Callithrix jacchus: one gene and its partners. The protein of the gene in region 5 interacts with the protein of the main gene of each other region in a pairwise test. Links are inferred from orthologs where the notes say so. Each region holds a gene or a part of one and is shown on either strand. Other genes may lie near its edges.

Region 1 (4,290 bases), on a different chromosome or scaffold from region 5:
TTGGAAATAGAGTCTCGCTCTGCTTCCCAGGCTGGAGTGCAGTGGCACGGTCTCAGCTCACTGCCACTTCCTCCTCCTAGGTTCAAGTGATTCTCCTGCCTCAGCCTCCCGAGTACCTGGGATTACAGGCAAGTGGCACCACGCCCGGCTAATTTTTGTATTTTTAGTAGAGACGAGGATTTCACCATGTTGGCCAGGATGGTCCCGACCTCTTGACCTCACGATTTGCCCGCCTGGCCTCCCAAAGTGCTGGGATCACAGGCGTGACTACACGCAGCCCCCAGTTTCGTTTTAAACAAGTCTATACAAATAGAATATCTACAGCTTGGTGGCAAAGCCGCTTAAACATGTCACTGGCTAGTTCTGGCAATATTATCCGAAATCAACTCATTTTTGTGGTCGAGGTTATCTGTCTTGTCTTTACCAATCGAGTCGCTGTAAACACTCCAGGACTAAAGATGACACCTGAAGAATCAAACTTACTCAGGGAAACTGTTAACTCCTTTTTTGCCAGTTATTAAAAGTTCTGGTGAATCCCAACTCAACCCAGAATGACTGGTGAGGAAATGTGAGTCCTTGACCTCGCTGGCCCTGGGGCGTTAGGCTGAGAACCGCGTCTCCAGCCTCCTCTCCCACCCTAGGAAGTCTGGGATTCTATTTCGCCTGCAGATGCGCCCGAGGGCTCCCGAGGACGGACCGGGCAGGCAGACCCAGCCCGTGCCCAGCACTGACAGCAAACGCAAACCCAACGCGCCGTCTTCTGAGACAGTCGTTTTCCCTCGTTCAATCCCCGACTGACGTTCATCCCCAAAGTGTTCGAGACGCCCCGAAAGCTGCAGAGGAGGCCGCACCGCCCGCCCCTGGGCAGCCCACGTTTCAGGACACCCCGTTCCTCAAATTAATGGCGGGGAGAAGCGGGCGAGCGTCTCCTCGCAGCCTCGGTTCACAGACCGGGGCGTGTCGAGCGAGTCCCTGCAGCAGGACGGCGCGCTCACAAAAACGAGAAAATCCCACTCTGCATTCAAAACCAGGCGAGCGCACTCCGGCCTCGCGGCGGGCGACCTGCTCCCGCCAGGGAAGCGCGAGGCCGGGGAGCCGGTCAGGGAGGCTGAGGGAGCGCCCCCCGCCGCGCCGCAGCCAACTTCCGCTCCCCTCCGCCGCAAAGCCCGCAGCCCGCCGGCCGCCACACCTCGGCAAAAGGTCGGGGGCAACCTCTCCACACTGGAAAGTCTCTGTTCGCTCCCACACCGGCCCCAGCCGGCCCTGCGGTGTGACCCGAGTGCGCAAGAAGCCGGGGCCGCACTCGTCAGCAGCTCCCTGGCTTCGAGACCCTTCGGCAGAGGCCGTGACTGCGGCCGGCGGGCGCTGACCCCATCCCCGCGCGCGTCTGCCGCCGGCCAATCCGCGTCCTCTTGAGGCGGGGCCGGAGCGGCGAGGCCCCGCCCCCAAGCCGCAGCCTCTTATTAAATACTGCGGCGCCCGCCGGCCTCACACAGCCGCGGAGCAGCGGGAGGACGAGGATGCAAAGTGCTATGTTCTTGGCTGTTCAACACGACTGCAGACCCATGGACAAGAGCCCAGGCAGCGGCCACAAGAGCGAGGAGAAGCGGGAAAAGATGAAGCGGACCCTGTGAGTATGGCTTTCTTCCCTCTCGCGCCACCCACCGCGAGCTGCAAACGCGGTGCTTTCCGGCTCGGCTTTGATCTTAGGAAGCTAGCCTGACCCTCTGCAGGGAAAAAAAAAAAAGTCGAAAAGCTCAATTTGTTAAGTAACGTTAAATCTGGGTGACGCTCGGGTAGTGTAGGAGCCGAGGGACGTAGTTGATAGGAGGGCGGTGGTGGATGCGCTAAGAAATTGTGGGTTGGCTGTTTGTCCTCCCGCATTGAAAATGACATCAGAATCCTGCGGCTGGTCCGCTTTACACAGCTGCTGGAAGGAGATGCTCTTGCCGGTTCTGAATATACTCGTTTAAAATCCATTTTTGTTTTTTAATTATAGAGCAGATCTCACCCAGTCACGAATGTGGAACAAATAATTGTGCAGCGTCTGCTTAAATGAAGGGTTGCAGGTGGGGAAGGGAGAGTGCAGGGGAATCAGTCGCCCACCCACCTCTTTGTACACACTCTGGCACGGTCAGGAACCTCCTGCTCTAAAGACAGAAGCATGGGCTGGCTCCAGACAGTTCCACGTCTGCCCTTTTCATTAACTGCGAAACGTCTCGGAATTGTAGTTAACCTTGCAAACAAACTGGTATCCTTTTGAAATAGTATCTGCCTTTTGAACTAAATTCATTAACAATTCTTTAAAATACTCCTAGTGATTCTAGGTAGCCCTGCCCTTAGCTGTAAAAGTAGTAGATACGATCAGATTAATGGATGAAACTGTTCAGTACATGAGTTTAAATGTTAAGTGGGTGGTAAGACTGTTATTTGAAGAGTTCTTGCTTTACCTTATGCGGTTTGTCTCTAGTTACTGGGTGCCTTTATTTGGTAAAAATGCGTTCAGCTGCAGAAGCATATTGAAGTGTTGGTACTTAGTGATTATGTTTTTTAAAAAATTTTTTTCTGTTGTTTTAGTTTAAAAGATTGGAAGACCCGTTTAAGCTACTTCTTGCAAAATTCCTCTACTCCTGGGAAGCCCAAAACCGGCAAAAAAAGCAAACAGCAAGCTTTCACCAAGTAAGTTGAGAATCCCGTAGTTGCAAGTATGAATAGTTAGTTGCTGAACTGAAAAGGGGAACTCTGATGTGCGTAAGCTAACATGCAAAACTTGTCTTTCAGGCCATCTCCTGAGGAAGCACAGCTGTGGTCAGAAGCATTTGATGAGCTGCTGGCCAGCAAATGTAAGTTAATTCTTGAACTTGAGCCATTGCTATTATCACAAAAGCCTGGAAAGGCTGTGTTCATGCTGCAAAAGAGCAGCTTGCCTGAGGGAATTAGATTGTGCAGTCACTATAGGATAAAGCCTATTTTTCTCTCCTTTATTTCCCAGGGTTTAAAATGGAAATAAATGCATGTATTCCCTCCAAGTGGGGAAGAAAAATAGCCAAAAAAAATTAAAGTGGCAGTTGCTTATAGTTAAGTTCAAGTCAGTTTTTCCATTGCATACAATGTTTTCAAGAGGCTTAGTTCCCAGAGAACTTATGGCTCCCCTATAAATATTTATTTTGCATTGACAGCAAAGTTAAGTACTTATATTTTTGCAGCAGAGTGCCAACATAAGCATTTTACCTACTGCATCTTAGTCATTAAAAAGCTAAATTTTGAGAATTGCAGGTTTGAGCAAAATCTAGAAAATTACTGTCATTTAGAAATAATTAAAATTTGAGGTAGAAGTACTAGGGGGAACATAAGGAATCATTCGGTCACTCAGTTCTTAACATTCTGCATGCTTTCTTTTCTCCCCTCTTCAGATGGTCTTGCTGCATTCAGGGCCTTTTTAAAGTCTGAATTCTGTGAAGAAAATATTGAATTCTGGCTGGCCTGTGAAGACTTCAAAAAAACCAAATCACCCCAAAAGTTGTCCTCAAAAGCAAGGAAAATATATACTGACTTTATAGAAAAGGAAGCTCCAAAAGAGGTAAGACAAAAAGTTCCTAATTTCAGCACAGTCAGGACATTTTTAGCACAAAAGTGAAACAAAAGAATCCAGGACAAAGTGGGGCTAGAAGGAGGGCAAAAGCCCTCCCACATTGTAGCTTTCAGTTATGTCAGAAGTTTCCCGTGACTTGCGAGTAAAGCTAATCACACATCATAATTATTTTTTTGTTTACAAATATTAGATTTTACTCTTTAACTCTGAATACCAAATAAACCATGTTTTTTGTTTTATTTCAGATAAACATAGATTTTCAAACCAAAACTCTGATTGCCCAGAATATACAAGACGCCACAAGTGGCTGCTTTACAACCGCCCAGAAGAGGGTATACAGCTTGATGGAGAACAACTCTTACCCCCGTTTCTTGGAGTCGGAATTCTACCAGGATTTGTGTAAAAAGCCACAAATTGCCACAGAGCCTCATGCTACATGAAATGTGAAAGAGAGCCTGAAAATGGAGGACATTTCATTCTTTTTCCTAAGGGGAAAGACTGACCTTGAATTCAGCCTGAGTGTTGGGGAAACATCACTCAGAACTATTGATTCAAAGTTGGGTAGTGAATCAGGAAGCCAGTAACTGTCTAGAAGAAGCTGGTATCAGAACAGCTTCCCTCACTGTGTGTAGAACACAAGAAGGGAATAGGGGGTCTGAACGTGATGCCTCACTCTGAAAGCGGGAATGTAAGATGAT
Region 2 (3,992 bases), on a different chromosome or scaffold from region 5:
GTATTAGTTTACTATTGCTGCTGCAACAAATGACCACAAATTTAGTGGCTTAAAACAACACACATTTATTATCTTATAGTTATGGAAGTCAGAAGTCTCAAATGGGCTTGTAGATACTTTTTTATGCCCATTCTAGCTTCCAGAGATTGCCCACATTACTTGGCTTGTGTTTCTGTTTTTACTCCTACCCTCCTGCCTCTCATTTGTAAGGGCTCTTGTCATTATAATGTACCCACCTGGGTAATCATGATATGCTCCCCATTTCGGGAGCCTTAGCTGAATGTTATTGGCAAAATCCCTTTTGCCCTGTAAGGTAACACACTCACGGGTGTTAGGAATTAGGATTTGGACCTCTTTTGTGGGGGCCCATTATTCTATTTATCACAATTGGTATCGCATGTTCCATTGTATTTTCTCCTTTCTCTCTAAATGTGTTTCTTTAAAAAAAATTCAGGATGTGTTTATTTTTTCCTGTATCTTTTTCTCTTCATTAACTTGTCTGTTTTATTAGCTATACCCTGACAGTTTTGACAGGGTTGTGGAGTATAGCAGAAAGGTTGGGAAGACATGGACAGCCGTGCTGGGAGTGCTGTTCAAGCAATTTTCTGCCTCCAGTCATTTCCCACTACTTCATGAAAAACAACTACTTCCACTGTGCTGTGGATGCTACGAAGTAACCCATGGTAGGTGTTCAAGGCAATGGTGCATCCTGAGCATTCCCCCTCGGCATCCCAATCCTGGAACTAGTAATTCTCTATGACTGACACCTCTGAGCTCCCATTCTCTCCTATCTCACCCTGGGGAATACCTGAGAAGGTGAGGTTTCACCTTCTTGCTCCCCGCGCCACCCCCACCCCCACCCCCGCCCCCCGCCCAGCTGAAGCTTGGGCATGCGCATCACCCGCGACAGATTGGAGGGGACCCTGCTGCTCTCTCCCCTGCTACCCTCCTCCCTTCCCTTCCCCACCCCACTCGAATTCCCGTTTTCCCCCACTCCCCATTCCCGCCCCGCACCCGCACCCAGCCACGGCTCCGGGACCTGTCTGGCCGGTTTCGACATCTGGGGAATTAACCTGTCCCGCCCATCCCTAGCCTCAAAGCCGCGCAGGCTCCGCGCCTCCGCCCTTGTTCCCTCCCAGCTCCTCCGAGTGGAAGCCGCTACAAATGGCCTGAATGAAACGTGTGTGGGTTTAGTGAGTGGTGAACCACCAGGGGATCCCGTCTCCCCACAAACCAGTATCTCTCAGAGGAGGAGGTGAAGGACGGGGAGGAGACCAGGAGCCGAGCGTCGGGCTTCGGGGGCGCGCGCAGCGGCTGGAGCGCGGGGAGAGGCCGGGCCACCTCCCCTACCCGGCCGCGCACCGCCTGGCCCGCGGCGGTTCCAGGCACCACCCTCCCCGCCCGGGCAGCGCCGGCTGTGGCAGTGACGAGCTCCCGCGGCCGGCGGCACCGTCCACCGACGAGCGGCGCCCTCTTCTCCCACTTCTCCCCACGTTTCCCTTCTCTGCGGCGAAACGCTGTCCAGCAGCCCGCGTCGCCCCGTCGTCAACTTAGAGCTGGAGGCGAAGCAACTTTGGCAGTGGCGGCGGGGCTGGAATCCCCCTTCTCCTCGGCAGCAGTAGCCTCGCAAGTCGCTGGGGTTGGGTGGGGCGAGAGTTTCGCCGGCGCATCAGCGCTGCTTCTGACGGTTTGCAACCTGTTTCCAGCGAGCTGGGAGCGGGGTTGTGACTGCCGGTCGTCTGCGGGAGGGGGACTTGTTTTTCTTTTCCTCTAGAGACCTCGGCTTGCAACTGGATAAAGCAGTGTAGAAAGGATGTAACCAGGCAGAGCAACTGTTACCAAGAAGGCCACCACCCCACCCAAAGGCAGTGTGGAGCCTGTGGCTTCGTCCGGGCTCCCCGAGTCGCAACGTTAATCAACAGTCAGGTGTAGATTGCAACTTTCCAAGGTCAGCCGCCGGGAGTAGCCCATTCCTTCTACAGACCCTGGAGCGCACACTTCGCTGGGACTGAACTTGGCTGAGAAATGCACAAGATGCCGAACGAGGAAGGATTGTAGGGAGCGTGTGTGTGACCCCCAAGACCCATCCTCCGCGATCCCCGTAATCTCCGATCCCCGCTACCGGGCGGGGGTGAGTACGTGACATGTGCCTAACTCTCGGCAGCAACTTCGGCAGCAGGTGTCGATCCTAAGCAGGAGCCGCGGCTGCCGGGTGTGTCCTCGCCAAGCCATGCTAGCCTCGGGCGCGCTTCTCGCCCGCGTGTCGCGGCTGCTGCTTCTGCTACTGCTCAAGCTGTCTGCCTCTTCTGCCCTCGGGTTCGCCCCTGCGACCAGGAACGAAACTTGTCTGGGGGAGAGCTGTTCACCTACAGTGATCCAGCGCCGCAGCAGGGACGCCTGGGGACCGGGCAATTCTGCAGGAGACGTTCTGCGAGCCCGTGCACCCAGGGAGGAGCAGGAGGCGGCTGTGCTTGCGGCGCCCTCCTGGGACCTGCCGGCGGCCCCGGGTCGTGGCCCCGGTGTAGGCAGAGGGGCGGAGGCGTCTTCTGCCGGAGTCCCTGCACCTCCAACCAGGCTGCCTGGCTGGAGGTGGAAAGGTGCTCGGGGCCAGGAGCCTCCTGAAACTTTGGGGAGAGGGAACCCCACGGCCCTCCAGCTCCTCCTTCAGATCTCAGAGGAGGAAGAGAAGGGTACCAGAGGAGCTGGCATTTCCGGGCGCAGCCAGGAGCAGAGTGTGAAGACAGTGCCCGGAGCCAGCGATCTTTTTTACTGGCCACGAAGAGTCGGGAAACTCCAGGGTTCCCACCACAAGACCTCACCCAAGACGGCCAATGGACCAGCGGGGCACGAAGGGCGGATAATTGCACTCCCGGGCCGGGCGCTGGCCCAGAATGGGTCCTTGGGTGACGGAATCTATGAGCCTGGGGGTCCCCGCCGTGGAAACAGCACGAACCGGCGCGTGAGACTGAAGAACCCTTTCTACCCGCTGACCCAGGAATCCTACGGAGCCTACGCGGTCATGTGTCTGTCGGTGGTGATCTTCGGGACAGGCATCATTGGCAACCTGGCGGTGATGTGCATCGTGTGTCACAACTACTACATGCGGAGCATCTCTAACTCCCTCTTGGCCAACCTGGCTTTCTGGGACTTTCTCATCATCTTCTTCTGCCTTCCGCTGGTCATCTTCCACGAGCTGACCAAGAAGTGGCTGCTGGAGGACTTCTCCTGCAAGATCGTGCCCTATATAGAGGTAATGCCTTCCAGGGGGTCTCAAGCTATTGGCTTTATCTGTTTCCGGGATTATAGCAACAGAGAACTGCTGCTGGATGCACGGACCTAGCTGAATGTCTTTGCTTATCTGGAGCCCTCTTTCGTTTCTCTTTCCAGTCATTTATGCATATGTGCATATACAAAAAGAGGCAGCTTCGCTAAATCACCTTCTAATTCATCTGCACCTGGGCTGTAAAAGAATGATGATCTCACAATATATATAATTGTTTGGAGTATAAATCTATCTCCCTGAATATGGTGATAGGCATATTTCTGATTTGGCACTTGTTAGAGATTTTAGGGTTAAATAAATGGCCAGCCCACGGTTGTCATCATCAGAGCCTACAAAAAAAAAAAAAAAAAATCATTAGCCTTTATCTACTAGTTATCTAGTGCTTCAACGTGATTTTTCCTCCAAGATTACTGCATTTTTTCTTAAACACCAAGGTTGGAGTCACATTATTTTTACAAAGAAAGGAAGGAAATTATGTTTCTTTGTCAGTTGGCCTCATGATATATTATTAACCTATCAAATTAGCTTAAGTGTCTGGCTGTCTTCCATGCTGTCACATCTAAATTCTTATGTCATTTGTTTCTTTTTCCTTCTTGATTTCTTAATTGTGTGTGTGTGTGTGTGTGTGTGTGCCCGCGCGCGCACGCACGTGAACTTAAGCAAAAATAAGACTTTGGCCACCATGGCACGGAATTTGTTTAACATTCTC
Region 3 (2,382 bases), on a different chromosome or scaffold from region 5:
TACTTAAAATTTAACATATCCAGAAAAAACATTTCAACTCCAACCTCCCTACCACCAAATTGTTTCCTAACTTGGAGATGAAAGATACCATGATCCACCTAGTTACCCAGGCTGAGAGATCACTGAGAAGGAGATCCTCTGAAATATTGTTTAAGTACCTGAATTTTTCACTTCATTCCACAGCTAAAGTAGGGTTTCCAATTTCCATTTTGGTTAATACTTTGTCAGACCGTGATCCAAATTTTTAACTGCCCAAAGTCATGAGAAGGACCTGTAATTCTTTTTCTTTTTTTTTTTGAGAGTCTTGCTCTGTCACTTAGGCTGGAGTGCAGTGGTGCAATTTTGGCTCACTGCAACCTTCGTCTCCTGGGTTCAAGTGATTCTCCCCACTTCAGCCTCCTGAGTAGCTGGAATTACAGGCACCTGCCACCACACTCAGCTAATTAGACAGGGTCTCACCATGTTGGCCAGGCTGGTCTTGAACTCCTGACCTCAAGTGATCCACCCACCTCGGCCTCCCAAAGTGCTGGGATTACAGGTGTGACCCACTGCACCCAGCTGGGTCTGTAATTTTTCTAAAGCAGTTACAAAAAGAATACCTTATACCTTTTATTCCATATGTATTTAGTGCCTTTATTTAATATTCTGAAATTTTTCAAAAGAGAATATTTAGATCCTCTTGCTAGAATTTCTAAACTGAGACTAATCCTGGAAAGAGACTTGTGTGAAAGAATAAGGAGCAGCTTTTTTGACATTGTCTTCCTGCTGAAAACTGCCCTCTCTTTGGAAGTGAGCATCGAGCTATCCTCCCTAAATCTTTATTCAGTGTTTCCCAGGGATCTCTGTGTGCTATCTTCGTACTTAATGGTTTGCTGTTTCACATATCTTGGCTTCACCTTAATTTTAAGTTGTTATTCCTACAATGGTCAATAAGATGAATAAGCACATGGTAGGTGATCAACAGATACCTTAGTGAATGAATGAACCACATGTAGAAAACATGTTCTGCATCCTGAACTAACTTGAAAAAGATACCATATAATACAAATACCCTTTCCAAACACTTAAACCCAATTTTCCTCATGATGTAACCTGATACATGACAGTAAGTAGTATGAAAACATTACTAGTTTAGAAATTAGGGGACCGGGCTTCTCATCTACATGCCAACACCATCTAAATATGAAATAGTGAGTTAATCTTTCTGGGTCTTAAGTTTCTTGATCCATAAAATTATGAGTAAGAGTACAAGCTATTTAAAGTTGTGAAAGCTCTAAAAATGTGGATAATAAAAATTCTGCATCCTAAGCAAATGTCTAGAGGGAAGACAGAGTACAGACCACATGAACTATAACTCCACCGCTCTCAAGTACCTGAAATAAGGCTTGTCAGGAGACATCGTAATCTGTAAGACTTCACTCGTCATATCCAATTCAGAAAATGCTTCACGGAGTCCCTCTGACTGCAGAATAATTTTATTAATAACATTGGTGCTGCAGAAGTCAAAGTCCAGGGTCTCCTCAGGTTCCTGCGTATTGATTTTGCAGACTGTTACCACCCCTCCTTCTTCTAGGAACAGCATCAAAGGGTAACCATCACCTTGGTAACACATCCGAAGAGCAGTTAAAGTCCCTGCAATGGAAAGAAATCATACTTGGCCTTAGCTTTATAGCTCTGGGTTCAGCTTCTCCTCAAAATGATATAAAATTTCTCAAGAATAATTCATTCCACCAAATTTCTCGCATATACGTATCTCCTCATAAAAAGGGATTATATCTTCCCTGATGACAGTTGTATGTAGACAATTCCAAACATACAAGAAAATTGGGAACCAGAACAAAATGTAACGTAACTCTCTGGTATCATTTTCAGGTTGTCATAAATACCTCAGAAATAGCTTGATTTTATATACATAAATTTCAGGATAGAGAATCTACATGGATCAACACAGCAAGTAACCAAATTGCCGCAGAACACAGTATGCTATTTCTTGAAGGTTCAATGTGTGTAACAGTGGACTGCTATGTGTACTGTAATGTCAGTGTATTCACTCTTATAAGGATCCTTCCAACTTTTCCAACTCAGATATTCTTTATATTTTTTCAAATTTCAAAATTAAATTGAGACAAAAAGAGGGTTGTTAATAGTGGTGTAAATTCTAACACTGCAAACCATTAGGGGAAGGAGGAATGTGATAGGATATTCAAATTCCTCCTTACTGCATGGAGAGCCACAGTGAGGAATGGAAGATGACAGATTCTTTCATGAAAAACCAGCTGGAGAACACGGTATTAGAAAATGTATAGTTAGTTAATAACAGTGGAATTGTCAGTAGAAAATTAAAATACATTTTTCTGGAGAACTATATTGGAGAACTATATT
Region 4 (3,500 bases), on a different chromosome or scaffold from region 5:
GTTGACACTAGCTAGCTTAAAGTAGCTATGTAATATTCTGAACTTAAATAGATCTCCCTAGAAATCCTTTGCACAATAAATCTTTTAAAAACCTTAAAGTGCTACAGCCTTTTTGGAAAAGTCTGAGTGTTTTTTGAAATTAAAAATATATAATCCTCCATCCTGGGCAACATGGCAAAACCCCATCTCTACTAAAAATAATAAAGTTAGCCAGGTGTGTTGATAACCCTAGCTACTTGGGAGGCTGAGGCAGGAGAATCACTTGAACCCAGGAGGTGGAGGTAGCAGCGAGCCAAGATTGTGCCACTGTACTCCAACTTGGGCGACAGAGAGAGAGAGACCCTGTCTAAATTAAAACACACACACACACACCTTTTATCCTGGCATGGTGGTGTGTACCTGTAATCTCATCTGCCTGGAACATGGAGGTAGGGGGATTGCTTGAGCCCAGGAATTTGTGAGTAGCCTGGGCAATATAGCAAGACATCTTGTGCTTTTTTTTTTTTTTTTTTTTTTTGTAAGACCAGAGTCTCACTCTCTCACCTAGGCTGGAGGGCAGTGGTGTGATGTCAGCTCACCTCAGCCTCTGCCCCTGGGTTAAGCAATTCTCATGCCTCAGCTACCCAAGTAGCTGGGACTATAGGCATGTGCCACCATACACAGCTATTTTTTGTATTTTTAGTAGAGAGGGGGTTCCACCATGTTGGCCAGCCTGGTCTCAAACTCCTGGCCTCAAGTGATCCACCCACCTCAGCCTCCCAAAGTGCTGGGATTATAGGCATGAGCCACCACACCTGGCCAAGATACGCTTTTTGACTCAACAATCCTACTAGTAGGAATCTATTTCATGAAGATATTGGTATGAAGCAACTTACATTGTAAACAGCCATTCTGTCCTGCTGTTATCAGTTTATTGTTTAATTATTGTGGTCTGAGTCTGAATGTTGATTAGTGTTTGATAATTGTTTTCTCTCATTTCAGAACTCTCTTGATAGAGCCCAAGCAGCCAAGAACAAAGGCAATAAGTATTTTAAAGCTGGAAAATATGAACAAGCTATTCAGTGCTATACTGAGGCTATTAGCTTGTGCCCTACAGAGAAGAATGTTGACCTTTCTACATTTTATCAAAACAGAGCTGCTGCCTTTGAACAGTTGGTGTGTACCCTAGGTTGTTTCTTCTGTTGCATTTGTATCTTTTTATTTGCTTGAAGTTTCAGTTAATGCTACTCAAATAAACCTAATATAGTTTTTGGAAGTTGTTTCAAAATTATGGGATATTGTTTTTATTTCCATTAATTGCAAAACTTAAGAATAAATTCTGTAGTTTTGCTGACTACAGATAAACGCCAAAGTTAAGTATATTTCAGATTTTATAAAATTAGATAGTATAGAAAATTAAAGTTTCTGGTGACCCTAGTCTCCTCAACAGTTTGAGGCTATTTCTTTAACTTTTTGATATTTATATGAGTTTTGTAATATATGGCAGATATTAACTCTTTGTATTAGGAACACTTTTTTAATTTTAGGACTTTTAGCCTACTACATTTAAACTGATTTCTATTGAACAGTGCTTCCTTTAGTGTGACTTTTTAAAAATACTTTCAATTACAGCAAAAATGGAAAGAGGTGGCACAAGATTGTACAAAGGCTGTTGAACTTAATCCCAAATATGTGAAAGCTCTCTTTAGACGTGCAAAAGCCCATGAGAAGCTAGACAATAAGAAGGAATGTTTAGAAGGTGAGGGTAATTTTGTGTTTACCTATGAAAATTGCTTGAGATTTTGTAGTCATTGGTAAATGTATATGAAACTGCCTTCTGAGTACAAGAATCAGTTTTTTTTTTTTTTTTTGAATCAGTTGTTTTTCAAAGGTGCACTCTTTTGCAATTAAGACTTTGTCTTCTAGTGTAAATTAAGATTGCTGATATTTAAGTATTGTCTTGTTCTCAACTGTGGAATTAAATGAGTATTAAGATTTGGAGTTTATATACTACACATTTTAAACTTAGCAACTAATGAGTGTTAGTATAATTCTCTGAATAAGGAATTCAGAAAAGATGTTTTAGCAAGTGATAGTGTTTCTAAGATTCTACATATTTCACTTAATATGTATAAATATGTGAAATAGCTTTGAGATAAATCATTAAGAAACATCGTTTTTGGCCCTTGGTGTTTTCAAACATTATTTAATACCCAATTGGAAATTACTGTTTTATACCTAATTTACACCTAATTGGAAATGATGTAGATTGGTACAAAGCATCAAAATGATTTTGACATTCTCAGGAAATGCCATAAATATTCTGTGGCCTCTGAATGCCCATATATTTGCTTCCAAAGCTGCAATTAGAGTATACCCCTGGCCTTTAAAATACATTCTTCTAGGTGATATGAAACAAAACCAAAGTATAATTTTCTATAGTCTAAAAGTTCTTCCCACTTCATATTTAAGTCTACTTTAAAAGCATCAGTAAGATTTAGCTATTATTATTCTTATTTTTAAAAATTACATTATATTTTAAAAGGAAAAAGCCCCTTTCTAAAAAAAATTTAAAAAGTGTGGAATACCAATGTGAGGATGTTTTAGAAGGGATGGTCATTGTTTGAGTGCTTTGAATGAAAGGTTGAGAGGTTAAGGAACTGTTTATCTTTTTAATTTCAAACCACTGCATGCATCTTGAGCTGTGACATAACCAGATAAAAATGGTATTGGGGCAGATTTGAGAGCTTTGTGGGAAGATGGCTTTGGAGACAAGGAATAACTCTGAGGCCTATAAAAACACCAGGCATGAGAGAGCCACACTATTTTGATATGCCTTAGAGTTGTTAGCCAGAAGAGAATTCCTGGATTCCTTGTTTTCTTTGCTATATATAGAATGTTAGAGTGGTGAGGAACATCAGAAATCATGCAGCATAGCCCCTTTAATTTCACAGGTAAGGAAAGCAGACCCCAGAGAAGAGGAGTGACTTTCTGAGCTTTCAGTTTGGTCATAGAGAATATAAAAGTAGGTGTTAAGAATCAATTAATTGGAAATGAAACCGTCCCATTAGGCCAGAAATTCAGTTTGGCTTTCTGTAGTTACATTGTACCCATTTGATGCTGCTGACCGTCTTTGCAATAATTTTATATTTACTTGTGTGTTTTTCATCATTCTAGATGTCACTGCTGTGTGTATATTAGAAGGGTTCCAAAATCAACAAAGCATGCTGTTAGCCGATAAAGTTCTTAAACTCCTTGGAAAAGAGAAAGCCAAAGAAAAATATAAGGTAAACTGATCTGAGTTGGGGAATACAGGGAGTACTCTGTAGGGTATTTTCTATTTTATGCTGTTTAAGCTTAGGCATAGTGGTAATGGCAACAACTGAAATTAGAACTGTTACATTTCTTCTTCCTATTATCTTTGGTTTTTATGACTTGTCCTTTTTCTTTTTCTTTTTTTTTTTTTTTGTGGGACGGAGTCTCGCTCTGTTGCCCAGGATGGAGTACAGTGGCACGGTCTT
Region 5 (3,500 bases):
ATGAGTCAAATAATGGGCTGTGGTTTATGTTTTCAAGATAAGGGAACTGAGACCTAAAGAGGGAAGGTTGATGGATTTACCCCTAGCCTCGTAAGCCAATTAAAGGAGCCTGCGGGGATTTTTGCATGGGTCTTCCTATCAGTGCAGGATGCACTTTTAACCCCTGTGCTATCCTGCTTCCACGAGGAATCTGGTGAATATTATAAGACGTACATAGTAAATGCCACTGGTGCCCTGAATAGGCAAGATCAGGTTTTTTGCAGGAGCTGATAGCCAGAGGCTTCTTGGAGGAGGTCACATTTGAAGTAGGCATTCAGGGGGTAGGCAGGATTTCAACAGGAAGAGGAGGAGGAGGGAGGTCATGAATAAAAGCGAGAAGTTGGCTGCAGCAGCTTTCTGTGATTTTTCTTCTGGGAGCATTTAGTTTAACAGAGTATACTTAGAGAGTAATGAAGAAAATGCTGGAATATAGGTTTGTGCTAGATGAAAGGGATCTTGGATTCTTTTCTCACCAGCTGACAGCGTGAGACTTAAAGGGTTTCAGTGGTGTGACATAACTCTGTATCAATGACGCTCATTTTGCAGAATTATGTAGGGCTCTATGGAGGTAAGTGGAGTGGATTTAGCCTACAGTTGAGGGCTACTATGAGACTCTAGAAAAGATGTGATGAGAGTGTGACTTAGAGAAGTGAGAGAAGGAATGGAAAGGAAAGGGCAGATGCGAGACTCCAGAGGTGGAGAGCAGTTGTGGTGAGAAGACAGCATGCAGAAAGACTAGAGGATGCAGCCTGGCTCTCACGGGAACAGTGGTTTCAATAAGGCATGGTGTCACTAGTGTCCCCGCCCCCTCCCAAAAAAAGGGGGCAAATAATTGTCTTCATAGACCCACTGGAACATTTTGGCCAGGACCCTCCAAGACTAGGGCTCTGAGCCATAGCCCCTAGCGGGTCCTCACTCTGGTCTATAGAGCAGCTTGAAATGTTTCCATAGCTGTTCCTTGAGTGCTAACACACTGCCTCCTGTTTTTATTAAGAGGGTCACTGTGGAGGGAGTGTGAGTTTGTAGGAGCTGTCAGAGCTAAGTTTTTTCAATAAACTCATGGGACTCTTTCAATTCCAATCAAGCAAGTGTTCTGCTCAAGTCTCTGTTTCCCAGGATGGATGTCAAAGGGAGAATGCAGTTGTGGTTTGCAGGTCACTGACTAATGTATGAGAGGGAAATCTCATGGGTAACTCTGGTTTTCCCAAATATTGCTCTGTAGCATTAAGTTTTTTGTTGTAAGTGAGAGAAAATATATGCTACTCAGTGAAGGGCTGCAAGGGGTGAGTCGGTTGGGACATGTTGCTGTGGCCATTTAAGCTCTTTGAGTGATGCTCACTTTCTTTTCTCCCTTCCAATTTCCTTGGTCAGTGTTTGTCAGGTTCAACTCCAGCCATGGTTTCCCAGTGGAGGTCGATTCTGACACCAGCATCTTCCAGCTCAAGGAGGTGGTTGCTAAGCGACAGGGGGTTCCAGCTGACCAGTTGCGTGTGATTTTCGCAGGGAAGGAGCTGAGGAATGACTGGACTGTGCAGGTGAGTCTCCCTTGGCGGCCGTTCCTGGGACGCTGCCAGCCCCATTGCTCATGCCGCCTGCGCTGCCAATGTGACATTCGTGCTTGAGATCTAATAGAATAAACAGTGCCTGGGGATTCCTTGAACTATACTCCACACTGCTTCATTAATTCTGACCTTCTTAATTATGCATTAAAACAGCAAGCAGGAAAGATTTGAAGAACAACTGTGTGTGTGTGAGAGAGAGAAAGAACACACGAGCTAGGCTTAGTGAATAAATGTTTACTGACTACAGGAGCAGCAAGGCACAATTTCTGTGTCTGTTCAATTTCTACCTTACTTATTCCATTTGAATCTTAATGAAGAAGGGTTCGAATAAATTGTTCCCAGTCAGGCTGCTCAGTCCCTGCACCATGAGGAATTTGTAACCCAATTGTGACCCCTGGAGGATAGTGAGGGCTGCTCCTCCGCTCACTAGAGGAGGTGTGGGCTCAGGGCCCCCAAGGCAACTAGCTTTGAGCGCTCCTTGGCCAGGACCAGATCTCACCATGGGGAAGGCAGCCTGGAGCACAACAAAAGTACACCTTTGCATTGAATTTCTCCAAGGTTCAGTGAAACGGACCCTGGAAATAGGCCCCTGCAAAGTAGTGGAGTGAATGATGCTCTCTTCTCTCTGGCCCCAGCAGAGCTTCCGGCAGCCCACTGCTCCTGGCCCCATAGAAGTCTACACACTTTTCATTCGGATTGGTGACTTTTGTGGGAATTAGGGGGAACTGGTGAGGTGATTGATAATACCACCATCACCTAGAACTGAAGACCAGTCATTTGTTGGGGAAACTCACAAATACAACTCACCATGTGTTGACGTTATTTTTTGTGAACGCGAGAAAGACCAAACACTTTCTGTGAATGGTTTCTGTGACTGTTAAGGACCCAGCAGACATATGTCCCCCTTTTCTTAACCAGCATCAATTAATTGCACTCAGGTTTACAGCCTTGTGGGGACCGCTGCTGTGCATGGCAGGCTTGGGCACACAAAGCCTGTCCCTGGGTCTGCCTCCTCCTATCCCTGTTTCTTCTGGGCAATGATATTTGTGGGTTTGTCAAATGCTCTCAGGATTGGGGTATACAAAGAAGCCATAGAAATGCAATTGTCCCTGTCATTCTCCATTGCATCTCCTGCTGATGGTGCTGAGGCCCGCACTCATTGTGCACAAACTGCTGGGCTTTGCTTTCAGACAGTTTGGTTTTATAAGGGAAGTGCATGTGCTAGAAAGTGTTTTGATTTGTTTTTTCGATTTCAGTCAACGAAAAAGCTTTTCACTATATCTGCCAACCTCTAAATCCAAGGATGTTTCCTTCACAAATAAATAATTTTAAAACAGTTCCTTGAATCAAAACACTTTATGTTTCTAGAACTTTCAGGTTCTAACACTCCCTTTAGTGCTGATTGGTAAAACAATTAGCAATTTCCTATGTAGTTAGACTAATTGCCCCAGAGGATTGACTTTACAAACATATGTGCATAAGATATGTATTGATTTAAGGGTCTTTATGTTGACAAACACTTCTTAAGCACTTCCAATGTTCTAGGCTTCTCAGGGGATCCAAAAGAGAGACAAAACTCAGCCCCTGTTTTCATGGAGATGGGTCTTTATTTATGAGCCCTAAAACCAAAAGAAAGATTAGATTGGACCATATGGGGTTGCCATTTTTATAGGTTCAACAATTGCATGTGGTTCAACCTATTAGCCATAATGTAAGAACGTGAAACAAAACTGTCATATTGCACCTGAAAATATTATTGTAGCAGGAGCGGCCACAGGAAACGGATCTCTCTAACACCGAACAAAGGAGGGAGGAGTTTATTCCGCCGGGAGACCAGGCAGTAATTTGTCGAAAACCCAGCTCATCTAACAAAGGAAGGTTTTACCTTTATATAGGCTT
Region 6 (3,500 bases), on a different chromosome or scaffold from region 5:
CTGAATTTGAAGTCTCCAAAGCTCCTTTTAGAGAAGTCGTCAAGTCTGATAAGAGTCCAAGATCTGACGTATCGGATGCATAAGCCTGATGCATTCTCTGTGTTTCAGTTAGGTCTGTTAGTTAATTATAGACTGCCCTTTACTACTTCATAGCAGAAGGGCTGATAGCAAAAATACCCCATTTCTCAATTCCTCTTTCTCCTGCAAACCTTGCCTCATTCACCCCACCTTTGTTTCTTGGCTTATTACAGACCTCTAGACCTTGAGCTCAGTCAAAGAGCAGAGATATAAGAGGTAAAAACAAAAGATGGCAATGATGAAAACATGAGGTTTTATAAGTGCAGAGGTGGGGAGTGGGAGAAATTCTCCAGAGAAGCCCAGTTAAAAAAAAAGCCAATTTCAGGTAATCAGCAAATACAATTCGGCACAAAACACAATTTTTATGGATTAAAATCTGCAACTTGATATTGGCAGTTAGGCTAATTTCTTCAGTTTGTATTAGACATGCAAGTATATGGTTACATTGTTATATAAAGATTTATAGGGGTCTTTCCCTCTCTTTTGTCCCCATCAAAAAAAAAAGAGGCCAGGTGCGGTGGCTCACACCTGTAATCCCAGTCCTCTGGGAGGCTGAGGCAGGTGGATCACCTGAGGTCTGGAGTTCAAGACTAGCCTGGCCAATATGATGAAAACCCATCTCTACTAAAAATACAAAAAATTAGCCAGGCGTGGTGTCGGGTGCCTGTAGTCCCAGCTACTTGGGAGGCTGAGGCAGGAGAATCACTTGAACCCAGGAGGTGGAGGTTTCAGTGAGCCAAGATTGTGCCATTGCACTGCAGCCTGGGCAACAAGAGCGAAACTCCATCTCAAAAGAAAGAAAGAAAGAAACAAACAAACAAAGAAATTCTGATGCCTTATGCCTTGCAGAGGAGAAAAAGCCATCATTGCTAAGAACTGATCTGCAGCTGTGGTCATGTAGGGTGTTCTTTGTGGAGTGTGTTTTGTAAGAAATTTTCCTCTACAACTAAAATGAGGTTTTGAGTCCACTTCTCTGTCATCTCTTTCCCCGCCACATCCCTCCCCAGCCTGGCCCCAGGGGGGCGGTTAGAGGAGAGAAGAACAGGATTAGTACTCGCTCAGACTGTGCCACTTGGCCACAGGCTTGCGGGGGCTCTCGCAGACCTCTCTCCAGTGTTCCGCACCACTGGCCGTGACACTGTGTGCCCCCAGGATCAGCCTCCCCACCACCTCGTTCTTAGTAGTGCGATCGAAGTCGATGACGAGGAACTCGATGCTGATATCAGGCAGGAGGTCAGTGGGGATGTCATAGATGAAAGATTCGTTGAAGACGGGGTTCAAAGTGCACTTCTTCACGTGGGTTTTCTTCTTGGCGATGCGCTTTCTGCCGTAGTAGACGTTCACCTTGACGTAAGGATCTGGGGCCCCCAAGGAGATAAGAAAAAGGGAGAGAGGCCTATGACACAGTCCTCCCTTAGGTAACGGTAATTTCATGTTGGAAAGGGGGAGCTCTGTTGTGCGTATCTTTGATGACCACCCCGTGTGTTCTTCAGGGATTGCACACTGATTGTATGTGAGTCTGCCTGCCTGGATGAGAGACCAAGGAAACCCAGCAAGATTAGAACAGACCAACTTTCTCAAGTCAGATCTGAAGAAATCCCATGGTACCAAGAGTATTTTAAAGGGCACAGCGATAAATGCCTGCAGCCTTTTTGAGAAGTTTCACTTAGCACCTGGCATGCATATTATTTAGTATACCTTGCCAAATGTAAAGACCCCATTTGTTCAACTGAAGAAACTTCCAAGCTAGGAAGTCTACTGGACATGGACATTCATCAGGAAGAGAATGTCAACAGAAAGAGAAGCAGATTAAAAGAGGTGAGGATCTTGAAGTGTGGAGGTCTATCTGGGCCACAGGCAACGAGTGGGGGGTGGTTCAGACAGTAAGAAATAGGTTGAAGTAAATAGCTGCTACCTGAGAGACCGGTGATATCCATCTTCGGCAAGTGCCTGGCTTTGAGGACCACCACTGTCATTCTCTGTGCCACAGGCTGATATGACAGAGACACCTGGAGCTCCCCCCTGCTGATGCACTTCTGTGAGGAAGAAATGGCAGGTGAGAATCCTGGCAGAGGGTGCAGAGAAGAGCACAAAAAGCATGCAGAGCAGTGGGAAGAGAGTCTGGGGGAGGACAAGTGCAGGGATGAGAAATCTGTTGGAAAGATGCTCATCCCCTGGAAAGGTGTTATTATTTTATTTAACAGAGAGGGAGAAAGGAAACATTATAACCATAATTCTGATATTAAACAATTTGCATGGAGAGCCAGAACAGCCTTGGATTTATGAGCATGACCTCTGGACCTAGTCTAACCTGGATTCAAATCCTATTTCTTTTTTCTTTTTTTTGAGAAAGGGTCTCACTCTGTTGCCCAGGCTGGAGTTCAGCGGCATGATCTTGGCTCACTGCAGCCTCCATCTCCTGGGCTCTAGCAATCCTCCCACCTCAGCCTCCCAAGTAGCTGCGACTACAGGTGTGTGCCACCACGCCTGGCTAATTTTTTTTTTTCTATAGAGAGAGTCTCACTATGTAACCCAGGCTGATTTTGAATTCCTGGTCTCAAGTGATTCTCCCACCTCAGCCTCCCAAAATGCTGGGATTACAGGCATGAACCACTGTGCCCAGTGCTATTTCTTATCTGTGACCTTGGACAAGTTATTCAACATCTCTGTACTTCAGTTTCCTCATTTATAAAATGAGAGTGAAAAGTAGTACCTACCACACAGCATTATTAGAATGATTAAATAAGTTAAAATCTGTAAACTGCAATGGTGCCCAGCACGTAGCGTGCACTACGGAAGTCCATTCTCTCATTTAGGTCTTATCCTTTAAAAAGTTCTGAAGACTGTACGGTGGGAGGTAGGAAAATGGGGTCTGAGTTTTAACCTTGACGCTTCCTCACCATGTGGCCTCAGGCAAGTCCCTGAACTTTCTGGAGCCTGTCCCTCCATTTCACAAGGTGAATATCCACACCTGCTTTGCCCACCCCAATGTACACTCCAGTGTATCATCTCCAGCCAAGTCAGCTTCCTCCCCAGCGCCCTGATCTTTGTTTCTCCATCTTTAAATGTGATGCTAGAATCCATTTAGAGCTTGGAAAAAACCTCTAGTCCTCCAAAAACACTTTGTTTGTTTTGAGACAGAGTCTTGCTCTTGTTGCCCAGGCTGGAGTGCAGGGTGCAATCTCGGCTCACTGCAACCTCCACCTCCCTGGTTCAAACACATCTCCTGCCTCAGCCTCCCAAGTAGCTGAGATTACAGGTGCCCACCATCACACCTGGATCATTTTTGTATTCTTGGTAGAGCTAGGGTTTCACCATGTTGGCCAGGCTGGTCTCAAACTCCCGACCTCAAGTGATTTGCCCGCCTCGGCCTCCCAGAGTGCTGGGATTGCAGGTGTGAGCCACTGCCCCTGGCTCCTCCA

What was found.
Region 1: the proteins of PRKN (region 5) and RGS2 interact in binary tests that used the Homo sapiens proteins (3 or more experiments, as listed by UniProt). The link is inferred for Callithrix jacchus from reciprocal best matches to the Homo sapiens genes PRKN and RGS2.
Region 2: the proteins of PRKN (region 5) and GPR37 interact in a two-hybrid assay, tested with the Homo sapiens proteins (2 studies listed by BioGRID). The link is inferred for Callithrix jacchus from reciprocal best matches to the Homo sapiens genes PRKN and GPR37.
Region 3: the proteins of PRKN (region 5) and RAD1 interact in binary tests that used the Homo sapiens proteins (3 or more experiments, as listed by UniProt). The link is inferred for Callithrix jacchus from reciprocal best matches to the Homo sapiens genes PRKN and RAD1.
Region 4: the proteins of PRKN (region 5) and TOMM70 come close enough for resonance energy transfer, tested with the Homo sapiens proteins (3 studies listed by BioGRID). The link is inferred for Callithrix jacchus from reciprocal best matches to the Homo sapiens genes PRKN and TOMM70.
Region 6: the proteins of PRKN (region 5) and SYT11 interact in binary tests that used the Homo sapiens proteins (3 or more experiments, as listed by UniProt). The link is inferred for Callithrix jacchus from reciprocal best matches to the Homo sapiens genes PRKN and SYT11.

What each region holds. Positions count from the first base shown.
Region 1 is NC_133519.1:49,997,682-50,001,971, forward strand, and holds the start of RGS2 (regulator of G-protein signaling 2), read left to right. Parts: upstream 1-1,490; 5' UTR 1,491-1,520; coding exon 1,521-1,630; intron 1,631-2,577; coding exon 2,578-2,679; intron 2,680-2,781; coding exon 2,782-2,843; intron 2,844-3,413; coding exon 3,414-3,580; intron 3,581-3,837; coding exon 3,838-4,032; 3' UTR 4,033-4,290. UniProt on the Homo sapiens protein: Regulates G protein-coupled receptor signaling cascades. Inhibits signal transduction by increasing the GTPase activity of G protein alpha subunits, thereby driving them into their inactive GDP-bound form.
Region 2 is NC_133512.1:122,301,714-122,305,705, forward strand, and holds the start of GPR37 (prosaposin receptor GPR37), read left to right. Parts: upstream 1-1,192; 5' UTR 1,193-2,230; coding exon 2,231-3,250; intron 3,251-3,992.
Region 3 is NC_133503.1:170,715,773-170,718,154, reverse strand, and holds part of RAD1 (cell cycle checkpoint protein RAD1), read right to left. Parts: intron 1,633-2,382; coding exon 1,374-1,632; intron 1-1,373. UniProt on the Homo sapiens protein: Component of the 9-1-1 cell-cycle checkpoint response complex that plays a major role in DNA repair. The 9-1-1 complex is recruited to DNA lesion upon damage by the RAD17-replication factor C (RFC) clamp loader complex.
Region 4 is NC_133516.1:91,552,525-91,556,024, reverse strand, and holds part of TOMM70 (mitochondrial import receptor subunit TOM70), read left to right. Parts: intron 1-981; coding exon 982-1,155; intron 1,156-1,611; coding exon 1,612-1,738; intron 1,739-3,156; coding exon 3,157-3,266; intron 3,267-3,500. UniProt on the Homo sapiens protein: Acts as a receptor of the preprotein translocase complex of the outer mitochondrial membrane (TOM complex). Recognizes and mediates the translocation of mitochondrial preproteins from the cytosol into the mitochondria in a chaperone dependent manner.
Region 5 is NC_133505.1:168,973,867-168,977,366, reverse strand, and holds part of PRKN (E3 ubiquitin-protein ligase parkin), read left to right. Parts: intron 1-1,410; coding exon 1,411-1,574; intron 1,575-3,500. UniProt on the Homo sapiens protein: Functions within a multiprotein E3 ubiquitin ligase complex, catalyzing the covalent attachment of ubiquitin moieties onto substrate proteins. Substrates include SYT11 and VDAC1.
Region 6 is NC_133519.1:16,246,295-16,249,794, reverse strand, and holds part of SYT11 (synaptotagmin-11), read right to left. Parts: intron 2,115-3,500; coding exon 1,991-2,114; intron 1,437-1,990; coding exon 1,126-1,436; 3' UTR 1-1,125. UniProt on the Homo sapiens protein: Synaptotagmin family member involved in vesicular and membrane trafficking which does not bind Ca(2+). Inhibits clathrin-mediated and bulk endocytosis, functions to ensure precision in vesicle retrieval.